Linked DNA regions of Schizosaccharomyces pombe. Changing the gene in region 3 together with the main gene of any one other region gives a genetic interaction. Each region holds a gene or a part of one and is shown on either strand. Other genes may lie near its edges.

Region 1 (4,720 bases), on a different chromosome or scaffold from region 3:
AAACATTAAGGGTAAGGCTACTCATGTCAATTGATAATCCATAAGAGACTTGAAGGAAAGAAGTTAAAAAATTTGAGAAAATATAATAAGACATGAAATATGTGAAAATTAAAACGCATGAACCAAGGATGGTACGGTCTTTCAAAGATTTTAAGGCGAAAACGGGATAGCGTGCATATTTGACGTCGTAGAAGCATAGGGTTACTAACAAAGCAATGGAGAGAGTTATAGTAAAGAGAGTTAAAATTGTTGAGTCTGGTGAAACTACCTGACTCGAATGGGAAAAAGGCAGCAACAAAAGCGTAAAGCCAGACACAAACAACACTATTCCAAGACCATCCAATTCCTGCCAAAACAAATAAAATAGTCTAAGTTTTTCAGGAGTGGAATGATTGATCAAGTTATGATGTTCTCTATATAAACCTGCAGCCTTGGCTTTTCTTTGGTTTAGGAAAAGCGAAGCCAAGAGAGGTAATGAAACTGTTGGTAAAATGAACGCCCATATACCATAACCCAATCTCCACCCATAATTTTTCTCAGGATGAAAGGCTTGAGCAAGCACTGGTCCAATCCAAACAGTTGCAAGATAGGGAAGTTCTGGGATAGCAGAGAGAATCCCCCGATTGAGTAGCGAAGATGTGTCTGCAATAATTAATTGAGATAACAGACCTAGCCCAGTTTGGCCGCATATATAGAGGATATATGCTACGGTAAACATTTGAATATTTCGAGAAAATGCCAATGAAAGATATCCCAACACTGTCATTCCTAATGCTAAACTAAGACTCTCCGAACGTCCAAAGACATCGGCAGCCTTTACCATTGGTGCTCGAACAACTGCTAAAAGAATATTGCCCACCAAATTGATTGTAGCCAAGTTTGAATGGGCGGAAAAGTTGCTGGTTGCGTATCTTTGCAAAGAATACGTAGTTTGCTGCTCTAATGAAGATGCAAATGACAACAAATAGAGACTAAAAGAGAAGACATTGTGTTAGCTTGATCATACCACAAACACAAACATTCAACAGATGTATGCAAACACTACGTGATTTATGGATTATCATGACTACAATACTAACATACCCAAGGTAAGCAACAATAATCGATCTTTTAGACCATGTTGAAGCAATTGCCTCAGCTTTGGAAACACCTTCTAGTGACAATTCTGAAGTACGATCATTTATGGGTCCAGCATTATCAAGCTCTTCTCTAAGGGGATGAAATTGCTGTTCTAAATTTTCGTTATTACGAAAACTCTTTTTACGATGCTCCATGCTTCCATAATTCTCAGTCATCCAGAGTGTATGGTAAATGGCAGTATGCAAAAGGTACGCCAACACAAATTATCAGATCGTATAGCAAATTAGAGTTTATCTAACCGAGATGTTTAATGAAGTTGGTAAACAATAATAAATAAAGACTGATGAAATGCAGACTAGTTAGTTAATAAGAGGTTTTTGGTTGCTTTAAGAAGCGGTTAAACTTTTTTAAATAATAGAAGAATTACACTTTGACCCTTTCTCCGAGGTTCAGGCTAAGCCGCCAATTTGATGTTCCCGCAATTAACTCCTCGAATTTATGAGTGATGGCTTCAATAGGGTATTCATTTGTTCAGAGTATTCAATTTAGTTTCTAGTCACACTTAAACATTTTGGAAGTATTAAAAATTACAGAGATTGGTAGCAGACGATTTTACAGCATGCTCGAAATAGAAGCATTAAGAAGAAATTGCAATATCACTCAGACTAATGAAATCCTTCTAAACACGAAAACATAATCTAAAGAATTGCTAGTAATATCACAAATTGCTGATAATTAGAAGGTGTTTACATTTATGGCAACAAAGATGAATGATCTAGCAAAAGAGAGTTTCAGACCAAAGAAAGTTGATGCTTTTCACTTTATAGATTACTCAAGTATCTACTTTAAACGGAAGTAAACAAGTTACGAAGGTAAAAAATTTCAAACATTTACAATCTTAAATTAATAAACCTATGCTTCAAAAAAAGACAGGAGTTACTCTTCTAATAACACTTCTTCACTAACTAGTTGTACTGGATGTTCTGTAACGAAAGAATGGACTGGGTTTGCAGTTTGGATAGTGTATCCAGCTCTCATAAAATTTGTTTGCTTTTTGCAAGCTAAACGTTTGACAATGGTTTTTCTTTTTCAACTTAAAGCACTTTATGCCCCATCAATTAGTCCTTCTTACTGGAAACTATATTTTTCTTGTCAGTTTGGAGTTCAGCAACTTGTCAACTACCCACCACTTTGGGAAGTGGTTAAAAATAAGCAATGCGGAATGACTGAGACTGGCAGAACCAGTAAATATCGTGTTGAAATTCAACAAATGATGTTCATTCTAGGGGAGGTGCAGGATCCTCTCCCAGAAACCACACAATTAGTCGAAGAGCTAATACGTGGACAAGTGATGGAGATGTTAATTCAGGCAAATGAGCTAGCTTTACGACGTGGCTCAAGATCTATTACTGTGGAAGATTTATTTTTCTTAATTCGCCATGATCGTGCAAAGGTGAATCGACTAAAGACATACCTGTCATGGAAGGAAGTGCGCAAGAAAGCGAAGGAGCAGGATGCCAATCCTGCCGATACAAAAGATCTTTTTGAGGAAGTAGATTCAAAAACAAGGTCAATGAATGCAGTTGCTATGCCTTGGGAAGTAAAAAATATGTTTACAGAGCCTGTACCGGAAACAGAAGAGTTTGAAGAAGATAACGATACGATGGAAATGGCATATGCGACGCGACAACGTCTTAAAATGGCAGATGAACGCACGAAGAAAATGACGCGTGAGGAGTATGTTCATTGGAGTGAATGTCGACAAGCCAGTTTTACTTATCGAAAAGGCAAGCGATTTCGTGAATGGTGTGGCATGTCTATTCTAACAGATACTCGCCCTGATAATGATATTGTAGATATACTTGGCTTCTTGACCTTTGAGATTGTGGCTACCTTAACTGAGGAAGCACTGGCTGTGAAAGATCGAATGGATCGGATTCAAAATAGCTCGGGTAGTGGAGGCTCTCATGCAGCGCATCATCCGAAAAATTGCAGTTTATTTGATGGACTTACTGAGGGGAGAACTCCCCTTCAAGTTTCTCATGTTTTAGAAGCTTTTCGTCGTTTGCAAATCCCCGATAAAACTCATACTGCTATGCGCAGTTTTCATGGGGGTTTGGTCAAATCTCGTGTGTATCTTATCTAATCATTTTCACTGTCTCTTCTTTTTTTTTAATTGCTGTAAGGCTTCCATTTACATCTAAATGCCCTGTTTTCCTGTAATTACCCATACTAGGTACGTATATGTTATTATCCCCATTACTGGTTCTCCTTGAAACAATATGGTTTAGATCTTACGAAAGCCCCTTTACTTTATGGAGATATTAACTACTCAATATATTTCATCACATTAGACTGTTGTCTTGCATCTCCGATTGAATTCATAATTTTATTTCTATCTTTCCACTAAGCGATATTCTTAATTGCAGCAGTGGTAGTATTTGGACTTTTGGATTTTTTAATATCAAATTTTTCTTATTATACTGGAATCTCATGATATCTGTGAATATTTGCAAATCTTCTTACCAAACTTCGTTTACTCTATACAAACTGCTGATTTTCGTAATGAACAAGGGGATCATCCTTTTGATATCGTCAGTGCGAAATTTTTAAAAAACAAAGGGTTTCTTTACGTTTTTTTTTTGTTTTCGAGAACATTTGAACTTCATCACTGAGCGTCATTTTGATCATACCTTCCACCTTAACATCATACATACGCCAACTCCAAGAATAACCGAACATTCGTATTCCGAAGCACTCACAGTACTTAAGAGATACAAAATTCAGGAATTTTAAAGACTTTTTGATTTATTATAATTGTAATTCTTTATAATTTTTTGCTATCCGAAGAATTCGCTCAACAAGATTACAACATGACATCTGGATCTCCCAAAATTACAAATTTGCTGACTCGTGTGAAGCGCATCATTCCACCACTTCTTGATACCTTCCACAAAGGTCAAGCCGGTCGAGTTGGTGTTTTTGGGGGTTGTCAGCACTACACAGGTGCTCCGTACTATTCTTCGATGTCGTCGATGCTCTTCGGCAGTGACCAAAGCCACATATTTTGTGAAAAAGAAGCTGCAAATGTCATTAAAAGCTATTCTCCTGATCTGATTGTTCATCCATTTTTACGTGAAAAGGACAAAGCTGGACCAGAAGATAGTGTCGATAAATGCTTTGAACTTATAAAGCCCATGATGGGAAGATTGCATGCCATCGTAATTGGGCCTGGATTGGGACGTGATGAATGGATGCAAGAGATTATGGCCAAAGTAATTGAGTATGCGCGCAAAAATGATATGCCTATGGTTATCGATGCTGATGGCTTGTGGTTAATTCAACAACGTCCCGAATTGGTTTCGGGTTATCATAATGTAATTTTAACACCTAACGTTATTGAGTTCAAAAGACTTTGCGACAAGCTTGACATTAAGAGTGACGGACCCGATGCTTGCAATCAGCTAGCTGGCAAACTAAATTTGCTCATCATTCAAAAAGGCCAATCCGATATTATTTCCGATGGCGCTACTGCATATGCTTGCTCCGTTCCTGGTGGTCTTAAACGTTGTGGTGGTCAGGGTGACATTTTAACTGGTATACTTGCTACATTCCTTGCTTGGAGACATGCTTATCTTAG
Region 2 (6,289 bases), 3.1 Mb from region 3:
TCTCTAAATTCCGTAATTCGCCTAAATGTCAACAAACTAAAAGAGCTTTCACATATCAACAACTTACTGTTTTTAATAGCTTCCTGTTCTGATGCATCTAATTTCCACCAAACTATTTCCAATCCATAATAAGTTGCTAAGGCAAAAAGCGTCACTTTACCAAGAGGTCTAGCGTAGTTTTTATAAAACATAATCTTTATGATCGTTAATAAAATAATGTTAAATAAAACAATGCAAAAATGCTTGAATGAATTTTAGCACAGATAAAATTTATGACCTAAAGCGTATTTAGAAAAGCTTACATGAGGTGAGATTTCTTTTTGTTGACTATTAAATCTTTTCTGCTGAACTGGCACCTTTTTTACAGTCCATTTCGCAAAATTGATGGGCAATTTGCGTAACATTTTGAGACTATAGGTGATGGTTAATTATAACGTTCCCGCTGCACCATACACACTACAATCTATTTGAATGATGCATAATTTGGTTCATTTCTAATCAAGATCCAAGTTTCTACGAAAATTAGCAACTATTTTTCATATTCCTTAGGTTTTTGTGATTAGTTATTTGTTATTTTTTTTTGCCAGTCAATTTGAAACAAAGGAGAGATAAAATTTGTTTTGTATCGTATTATAAAGTGAACATATAAATACATTAAGATCCGTAGGAACACTAAGCTACCATAATTTTATCTTCGAATGCAATGATTTAAAATCTATTTAAGTAGAATTGACAAATATGAATGTGTTATGCAGCAGAACATGCTTCGACTCAAAAATTATAAAAAGAAAGATACAGTACCGTTTACAAATTAGGAGGTTAAAATCCAAGTGCTCGCATGATTGGTGTTCCAATTAATAGGAGAATCACGAAGGAAATTAGTGTGGCAGGAATACCAGCTTTTAAAAAGTCACTAACTTTCAAATATCTTTTGCCAGCTTCATTTTCCATCATGATAGCTGTCATATTAGGAAAACCACTGGTTGGCAAAGCCATAGCAAGACTACACATCATTCCCGAAGCCAAAACGAAAAGACGTGGATGAGGATCGGCAAGGCGACTTCCAACTTCATGGACAATGGGAAGTACCACCATTGCAGCTACTATATGAGAAATAAATGAAGAAACAACAAGAGTCAAAGCAGAAAAAATAAGCAGTACCCTAAATGTATTAAGGGAAGAAACAGCATTACCTATTTTAAGGGCAATAAGTTCTAAAAGGCCGGAAGAAGACACTACTTTTCCTAACGCAACACCTCCCATTGCCAAAACTATGACTGTCCACAAAAAATTATTAAAATCCTCCTTGGTTAACAAACCTGTTCCGAAGAATACAATGATTGGGACTAATGCAATAACACCCATATCACCAAACACCTCATCGAAGCGGCGTTCAAGGCACCAAAGGACTATAGTACCAATCGTAACAATGGAAATAAACCATTGGACACCAGTAAATGTATCCTTGGTGGAGCGAATTTTAGCTAAAGTGATGTGCTCATCTTTCAGTAATCCAAAAGACAACAGAAACCATATAGAAAATATACACAGTAACGATACAGGAATACTGACGGCAAACCATTCACCCCATCCCGCAGCGGGATCCATATTCTGTAGCGCAACAATATTTTGTGGGGATGAAATAGGCGAAGCAATACCTCCAACATTAGATGCCAAAGCAATACCCACAATTAGTATCTTTGCAAAATCGGACTCTGCTGGTAAATTTCTCAGAAGGGGCTGAATAATAGAAAAACACAACACTGGCGCAGCAACGTTGCTAATCCACATACTAGCAAACATGGCAACGAACATGTTTGTAAGAAGCACGCTTCTAGGCTTACGCCCTGCATGCGCTAAAATGGAAGTCGCCAACCTTTTAGCAATATGATATTTGCTTAGAGCAGCTGCAATGGTAAAACCTCCTAAAAGCAAAACTATAGTTGGATTCCACATCGAACTAAATATAACCTTTGTTGATTCCTTTCCAGAAAGAGGTGAACCGTTCTCATCTCTCAAAATTTTCAAAAACACAGTCATAAAAGGAACCAAAAACGAAGTAACGAACAAAGGAATAGCCTCCGTAGCCCATAATAAAGAAACCATTACTAACAAAGCCAAACAATTGTTCTGTTCCCTATTATCTATGACAGGAAAACTTAATAAGAGAATAAATATAACGATAATAGTAATTAAAGTTGCAATCGTGCTATTAAAGAAGCATCTTGGGATTCTAAAAACACCAAATTTAGTTTTGATTGTAAAATAGGGGGGCTGTTCTGATTCTTTCTCATCAGCTGCGACAGGCTTCAGTCCTGATAATCTCGCGGCCTGAGTACGACGCTCCATAGCCATCATTTCACGCCAAATAGTGTTCCTTTCCCATGCAACGTATTCACGAAGATGACCACGAAGGCGACGGATAGCCACAAATGTATCGCCTTGACAGCATAGCTTAGCATACCACTCTGCAACAATATTTAAACGCTTTGACAATGTTTTCCCAGTAGCAGGAAGGAAAGGGTAAGCTTGGTTGACGCGCTTCATGTACGATTCACGAAGGCTACTACCCAAAGTTTTATCATATTTTTTTAAGATTTTTGAAAAACCAGTATAATTAAGATGGACGTACGAAATCAAGTCATGAATTGAAACATACAACTGTGTCAGTTTTCGCTTTAAAGAAACGAAGTTTTCGTACGCAACAATATCAGATGGATATTGTTCAATAAGCAACCATCGATTGTTATTGTTGTTATCTTCGTCTTCATCTTCGTCCTCATCTTCATCATCATCATCATCATCTTCCTCCTCCACCTCATCATCATTGCCTTGTACCTCAGGTTGAGCTTCTGAATGTTGTTTTTTTGATAAACCGTTTTTAGAAGTATCGACATCATGAGGTTCAGACGGTTGAATAGCAGTAGATTCTGCTCTAGATATAGCAGGGGCCGCATAACCTCCATCACTAGTTTGCCCATTGAGATATATCTCACGGTTTGAAGAAGTAATGCGAGGCAATTCTTGGCTGCGGGCCATACGACCAGATTTCCTACTCGCTGAGCTCTTTTGTAATCGTTCAGGGGTAGGGTAATTAATGTTGTTTCCCTGACTCATATACTCATTCTCATAGGTTTCAAATTCGCCCTTAATTCTACCATACTGATCAGCAATTTCTTTTTCTTTAGGAGCATAAAATTCAACAATTCCTTGTAATTCCTTGTCTAAAGCAAACATAAAGCGATCATCGGGTGATCTTCTTTCGTGCTCTAACAGCCTAGTTTCTTCATCTGGAGCGCCTTGTTGTAATGTTATCTGTTCATGTTCCAATGAATAAATACTTAAAAATATATGTTAGCAAAATTCAAGTACAATTTTATTCTCCGGCTGTTAATCAGACATTATCCCAAATTTCGCAAGTATGAATTTGTCGGAATATAGGATATATCATAATAGCCAGTCGTAAGCTCGAGAATTTTCAAACATACAGCTTCTTAAGGTTCGAGTAACTAAGCACCGATTGTTAGCAAAAATCGGAAGTAATCCAACAGGTTGTTTACTTACGCAATGTAGCTTTCGGACCATTCCGGTACTGCATTAAATTGAAGACTAAAAAGTAATTAGAACAAGTCTTGTGAAAACTGATGCAACAAACCTATGACTGAATTTCATCTTGGATGACAGAGGTCATTTAACTTCAATTGTGACTAAAAACAGCTTTAGCTTATTCACGCAAATTAATTTGGAACAATCTAAAGGAGCGTTAGCCGTTCAAATTTCGTGGCCTATGATCGGAGGTGAAGCTGTATTCGTGGATCCAACCTCCGATAGAAATAGCGTAATATAACAACGTGTGTTAAATAATATAGCAAAGTGCAATGCTTTTTTACTTAGTAAATTATTTGGGATCCTATTGTATTTTAATTTAACAAACAAGCAATTTGCAGGGAAAAAGGATTTTTGGCATTCTATCAATTTAAATACATACATAGCATTGGTTACTTCTTGGGATTTCAAAGGGTTTTAGTAATAGACTTTATAATTTTAAAACACAATGGCGGAAGTGAAAAAATCAATTCCAAAACGTCGTTTTGTTGGCAAAAAAAATAGGAAGGAAAATAATTTGGATGGTTCTAATAGAGATGTTGAAAATGCTGCTCTCGTCACTATTAACTCCAAGAGGAGCGCTGGACGAGTAGCTACTCAAATCCCAGAGGATATATTAAACGATAAAGCAATTAATGAAGCTATAAAATTGGTAAGCTGCTTTTATTAGAGAAAGATGCCGTAAATTAGTTTCTTCTTTTCTCAAAAACATCAAAGCTTGGTCAGCTAACCTTTAATAGTTACCGCAAAATTACAATTTTGAAATTCACAAAACCATTTGGCATATTCGCTTACGAAAAGCAAAACGTGTTGCCTTGCAACTTCCCGAGGGGCTATTGATGTTTGGTTGTATATTGTCTGATATTTTTGAACAATTTTGCCAGGTCGAGACAATTGTGATGGGCGACGTTACATACGGTGCGTGTTGTATTGACGATTTTACAGCTAGGGCACTCGATTGCGATTTTTTAGTACACTATGGTCATTCTTGTCTTATACCTGTTGATCAAACGCCCATAAAGGTGCTATATGTTTTCGTGGATATAAAGATAGATTTGCAACATGTCGTATCATCTTTAAAACATAATCTACCCTCCAATTCTAGGTTAGCTTTGGTTGGAACTATCCAATTTGTTGGATCTCTCAACTCTATAAAAGACGCTTTGCAAATACAGGATGAAGACGGAAAGGGAGGTTTTTACGTTGTTATTCCACAAGCAAAGCCATTATCTCCTGGAGAGGCGTTGGGATGTACATCTCCCTATATTGAAAAAGGATCTGTAGATGCATTAATTTACATTGGTGACGGAAGATTCCATTTGGAATCTGTCATGATTGCTAATCCTGATTTGCCCGCATACCGCTATGATCCTTACTCACATAAGCTCTCTATTGAATCTTATGCTCATGAAGAAATGAAATCTATTCGGTATTCCGCCGTTGAGAAAGCTCGTACCGCTAAAAAGTTCGGTCTAATTCAAGGTACACTGGGTCGACAGGGGTCTCCTAAGGTACTCGAAAATTTAAAGAATACTTTAAGGAAAAATAATAAAGATTTCGTTTGCGTTTTAATGTCAGAAATTTTTCCTAGTAGATTGGGTCAATTCTCTGATATTGACGCGTGGATTCAGGTCGCTTGTCCAAGGCTTTCCATAGATTGGGGCTATGCATTTCCCGCTCCATTGTTGACACCATATGAAGCATCTGCTGCTTTTAATGTTGTTCCTTGGAAGGAAGTTTATCCTATGGACTTTTACGCTACCAATTCATTAGGTAATTGGACTCCAAATAATCCCGAAAATCGACCTCTGCCAAATCGCAAAAAAACCGGACCCGTTTCTTCTTAACGCTACTTGCCATTAATGGCACTAATACTTGTTATTTTTTAACCCTTATATTGTTCTTTATAGGTTTATTAAAATACCAATAGAATTCTCATCTGATAAATACAATATGTATTACATAAACTACTGCTTTAATATATTTATATTTAAACTATGCACCGGCAGGCGCGTCCCTCATTTTAAGGAAATTTATAAGTAACCAGCCCTACATGTTGTAAAGTAACGATTGAATGTGTCCAGCATACCCCCCTGTTCCATGGCGGTTATAAAATCAACACAAGCAATGCGAAATTTTTTTCTTGTTATGTTGTTCTAACTTTTTTTATGTGAGTAGTTCTAGTAGCTGCAGATAGGTTCAGGATGCTTAGCCAAGTAAGCCAATAGGAATGTTCTTGATCGTTATCACTCCGTCACCGTCCGATTCAGCTTAAACACTCCCATAACCCATTCTCAAAGTGAATCCCTTTTTCTCCCTTCTAATAGTGTTGTTATATATACTTATATATAATAAAAAGGTAGGTTAATAGCATCATATTACAAGTTAACACATTTTGATGAGAGAATTTCATGCTATGATACCGGAGCGGATATGTCTGCGCAAAAATCACTCCACTTGATTTGCATATATATCGATGATGGCAGAAGTGTTATTAACTCTTTTTAGATTCTAAAAGTTCCAATTGAAGCCAGAAGTGAACTAACTAATAGTTCATGCGTTTGATGCTTTAAGGAACTCAGTTTTCAGGGTTTAATTTATAAATATAAAAGAAAAAGGAATAAAGTAGAGCTGCTAACCCAACTCGGTTTTCCCTTTTATTTGATTTGAACAAATTTTTTTC
Region 3 (4,573 bases):
AAATTCTTGTAAGCCAAATGCGCATTGCTGGAAATTCTGCTATTGGTAATCCGGCTGTTAAAGACAGGATCAACAAGATCGTATGGAAAAATGGTAACCCTGATCGCTTATATTCTCTGCATGAAAATGGCATGGTGCGAGTGTTCGATGTAAAGAGTGAGGAATTGCTTGCAGAGAAATCGATTAGCAAAGTCTCTTTGACTGGTATTGCGTTTGCTGTAAATCGTCCGGAATTCGCGATTAGTGCATCTGATGGAAGAGTCTTTTTCTTGAGGCAGGACGATAAACTTTCAACTCTCGAAAGCTTACCTAGCAGAGAAGCTCAAGAGGAAATTACTGATTTATCAGATATTCTTTGGATCAACTCACCCGTCGATAAGTTGGAGCATTTGATTGTGGGCTGTAAAGAGCGAATTTCTGTTTACGACCGCAAATATTTACCATAAAGCACTAACAAAGATAAACGAATACAGGAAGATTTCCCTCTTTTTATGAAACTTCCAACTTTTCTAATCAAAATGAGTTATTTGTTAAAAAATAATGATTTACGATTTCTAACCGTAATGAACCAAAAATCTACACCGTTGCTGGAGCTATATTTGTATTAGATATACGGCAACTATTTAATCTAATCTCAACGTTACTAAAATAAGAACAACACTAACTTGGACCATCAACTTGTATAAAATTGTGTAGTGATCATATTTGAATGTATCTTCAGGGTTGAAGCACATTGTAGCAAGACATAAAAAAGTGTAATTTCATCATGAATCATATAGCAATAGGCATGTAGACTATCCTCCAAATTTGACAATGAGCGTAGACAATTTGTCAACTAAGGTTCAGAATCAGTGATTACAGCAAAGGCTTTGTCAACACTGACAAGAGGTGATATGTCAATTTCCTTCACTATGCATTTGCCAGTACCTTTCTCAAAGATCCAATGGCTTCTAAACAGCTTTCCACCACCAGGCTTCTCAGCGCCTAACTTTTTAATTAGCTCACCTTTAGGATCCGAAAGCAAATGATAAGGAAAGTTTTGCTTATCCTTGAAAGCTTTTTGAGCTTTGCTAGTATCGAAAGACAACCCTAAAACTTCATAATCAGAGGCCTGTATCTTAGGATAGTTATCACGAAAACCACAACCTTGTTTCGTGCAGCCAGGAGTACTAGCTTTTGGGTAGGCAAAAATTACAAGCCCTTTATTTGCAGTAATATCGCGAAGTCGAATGGAAGTTCCATCTTCGTCAGGCAAAGTGATATCGGGAATTACGTCTCCCACTTGAATAGTTGAATCAACTGATTCATCTTTTGCAGGCTTTTTCAGCATTACTGGAGCAGCTTCAGGAATAATCGTTCCTTTGCTATCCAAGACGTTTGCAATCTTGGCTGCCAATCTGCTAGATCTTCTGGGGGCGTCCATTGACAGGCTTAAAGTGTGCAAGAAAAATGCTAGAGGGGAAGGAGAAAGGTTGATGCAGAGCTGCAGTATATAAATTTATATTCTAAACAACACCTGTAAAACCAAAAACGTTGGTGTCAATGCTGATCAGTATTAAATCGCTTTAACTTGTAAAGGCTAGATAAAATGATCAAAGTAGTGAAACTCTGTTCAGGATGAAGTACTCTGAACTTTTTACTACTCAACTTTCAGAATTTCGGTACCAAAATAAAAACAATTTTACAATAACACCTGAGATTTTCTTTCTGGTGTAGGAAGAAAGTACAGGTAGTGAAGAATCACGACATAAATATTACCAATTTGTTAGCTTCGCTTTGATATTACTTTACAACATTACCAATGTGATCCCGTAAAATCGTATTTAGCGTATTTAGCTGACCTTTCAAACGATCGATAGGGAACCGATCTTCCCCTGCTTATACAATCGGAATAGCTTTGCATCCTACTATGACTAAAGAATGTTTTCTTTCATAAAATTTCTAGTCAAATCATTATTAACATGGTGTCGTTTTTACTAGTATGGCTTTAAAAAATGGTCTTTCGTAAACTGTAACAGCATTTTCTCTGATTGTCCGTCTCGACAGCGTTACAGAAATATAAATAAAATAACAATTAATTTATTAACAAATTTCAAATATCTTTTGTTCGTCAATTGTAGAACGGATCCATCAGCTAGGAACTGATTTGCATGCAATGTCAATGTAGCAATCGTAGTAAAGATTCTAAGGAAGTAAGCCAAGACTATAAAACATGATGTTAGCAAGCGAGGCTATCGTCTTTATTAAACTAACATTGCATTTTTTTTATAAAAAGGCTAAAAACATTGCATCGACCGGGAGTCGAACCCGGAGCTAATGCTTGGAAGGCATTGATGTTACCGCTACACCATCGATGCTTGGATGAAGAGGTAAAATAATAGACATATATTACTTTAAAATTAAACTTGTATCGAAGTATTAGCAACTGGTTCTACATTATGAAAATAACCCAAAAACAATCCAAACTGTTTGGCTAATAATGTGTCTATTTATTATACATTAAATAGTTGAAATTATGGTATACTGCCTACTATGCTTGTAATATACTATAAATGTGTAATGTATAATAAAATGGGCATGTGGTGTAGATGGTTATCACGCTTCCTTAGCATGGAAGAGGTCCCAGATTCGAGTTCTGGCTTGTCCAAGTTTTTTTTTGTTTTTTACGTTTGTTGATTCAAACTATATAGAAACGCGTTTACGCAGAGAACATGTTTTCAAATGATTGCGAGCCATCGTCTACCCTATAGCCGTATGGAATTATCAATTTTATTACAACGAAGGGTCGTAGCGGAGAAAGTATATTAATGCATTGTAAATTCATTTCATATAAAATTAATTATTATACCATGACCAAAGGTCTTCTAACATAAGTATATCCAAATTATCTGAAACATTATAACTGATAAAGAGGAATTTCGTTAACTTGCGTACATTCAAGGAAGGGCCGCAACTGTAGATGTAATGGTTTTGCTAAGAGCCTCCACTAGTTCATCTATTTGCTCGCGAGTGATAATATACGGAGGAGCCAGCAATACGTGGTCTCCTCTGGTGCCATCAATTGTACCCATGCCTGGATAAACGAAAACACCATGCTCGCAACCTATTTTGTTGGCGAGAGAACCAACTTTGTATTCAGGAGGGAAACATTCCTTGGTAGCTTTGTCTTTAACGATCTCGAGTCCCCAAAACAAACCGCGGCCTCGAATATTTCCCACGTTGGGATGAGAGTCAAAAGTCTCATGTAATTTTTCCGAAAGGTATTTACCCATTTCTGCTGCCCTTTCAACAAGATGATCTCGTCTTAAAATAGTTTGCACCGCCAGGGCAGCAGAACAAGCAATTGGGTGGGCTTGATATGTAAAAAAACCAGCCATGGCAGCATCTTTTTGCTCAAACACGTTCATAATACGATGACCAACAAGCGCTCCAGAAATGGGTTGATAACCACCTCCTAAACATTTGGCAATAGATTGAATGTCAGGTGTCACACCCTCTTGCTCCCATGCATGCATTGTTCCCGTACGGCCAATACCCGACATAACCTCGTCGAGGTAAAAGATCACTCCGTACTTGTCACAAACCTTTCTCATTGCTTTGAAATAGCCAGGGACAGGGGTAGCACAACCTGTGCAAGCACCGGATACTGTCTCCGCCACAAACGCTGCCACCTTTTCAGGACCAACGCGAAGAATTTCATCCTCAAGCTCTTTAGCTAATCGAGCAACATATTCTTCGGTTGTCTCTCCGTTTTCCTTATACCTGTATTCAAAACAAGGAGATACGTGGGAAGTTGTGTGAGAAAACACACCTTCATAAGGCTGTTTGCGAGGTTTCATTCCGCCAACAGAAAGAGCAAACAAAGTGTTTCCATGGTATCCTTGCTTACGGGCAATTATATGGCATCTCTGTTTTTCACCCACGAGCTGCCAGTACTGCAGAATAAGCTTTAAACATGTTTCAACGGCCTCTGACCCACTATTGGCAAAATAAGCTCGGGCAAAAACGTCGGGATGTTCAGATACTAGCAAATTTGCAAGTTTGTCTGCGGGTTCATTTGAAAACCCCATGCTGTGTATGTAGCAAACCTTTTCTGATTGCTTATGCATAGCATCAATTACCTCCTTGTTTCCATGTCCAAGACAGGCGACTGCTGCACCTCCAGTAGCATCCATAATCCTCGTACCATCTTCCAAATATAAGTAAACGCCTTCAGCACGAACCACAGTGGGAGGCCTGTGATTAGGAGAAGTATAGAACAAATAATTCTTTTTTTCAGACTTGTCGCTCGACGTAGTAGTTACAGTTTCAGTCATGATAAGCAATGTAAATTCTCGTCAGTAAGAGTATTTATATGTAAAAAGATTAAGCGAAGTGTTTTCCAATCTATTCTCTAAAGAAATTGATCTGATCACCACAGCTTCACTACAATATCTTGTAAAGTGTCAGATGAACTAGAAATCCTACGGTATTTAAAACCTCGTCAAGCTTTAATAATCATCTTTTTTATCTATGTGTCGCAAGTACATCTCCGGATAACGAAATTGCCGCCTTCAGTTTCGTATCTATCCAA

What was found.
Region 1: of bcp1 (region 3) and spt3, changing one suppresses a phenotype caused by changing the other (phenotypic suppression), as found in Schizosaccharomyces pombe (one large-scale study listed by BioGRID).
Region 2: mutations in bcp1 (region 3) and plt1 together harm fitness more than expected from each alone (negative genetic interaction), as found in Schizosaccharomyces pombe (one large-scale study listed by BioGRID).

The regions. Positions count from the first base shown.
Region 1 is NC_003421.2:1,440,700-1,445,419, forward strand, and holds spt3 (SAGA complex subunit Spt3), read left to right. Parts: upstream 1-2,254; 5' UTR 2,255-2,302; coding exon 2,303-3,226; 3' UTR 3,227-3,901; downstream 3,902-4,720. Other genes in the region: siderophore-Fe(3+) transporter Str2, read right to left, coding at 1-971, 1,084-1,295; NADHX dehydratase Nnr2, read left to right, coding at 3,954-4,720. UniProt on the Schizosaccharomyces pombe protein: Component of the transcription coactivator SAGA complex. SAGA acts as a general cofactor required for essentially all RNA polymerase II transcription. At the promoters, SAGA is required for transcription pre-initiation complex (PIC) recruitment.
Region 2 is NC_003423.3:3,385,083-3,391,371, reverse strand, and holds plt1 (phosphate transporter), read right to left. Parts: upstream 3,755-6,289; 5' UTR 3,673-3,754; coding exon 3,656-3,672; exon of another isoform or gene 3,610-3,655; coding exon 3,565-3,609; exon of another isoform or gene 3,510-3,564; coding exon 3,489-3,509; exon of another isoform or gene 3,341-3,488; coding exon 820-3,340; downstream 1-819. Other genes in the region: mitochondrial F1-FO ATP synthase peripheral stalk assembly factor Ina17, read right to left, coding at 1-21, 68-194, 303-404; diphthamide biosynthesis protein Dph1, read left to right, coding at 4,055-4,258, 4,347-5,453.
Region 3 is NC_003423.3:283,103-287,675, forward strand, and holds bcp1 (thioredoxin peroxidase), read right to left. Parts: upstream 1,715-4,573; 5' UTR 1,424-1,714; coding exon 836-1,423; 3' UTR 501-835; downstream 1-500. Other genes in the region: csc3 (WD repeat-containing protein), read left to right, coding at 1-446; SPOM_SPBC1773.03C (aminotransferase), read right to left, coding at 2,937-4,316. UniProt on the Schizosaccharomyces pombe protein: Thiol-specific peroxidase that catalyzes the reduction of hydrogen peroxide and organic hydroperoxides to water and alcohols, respectively.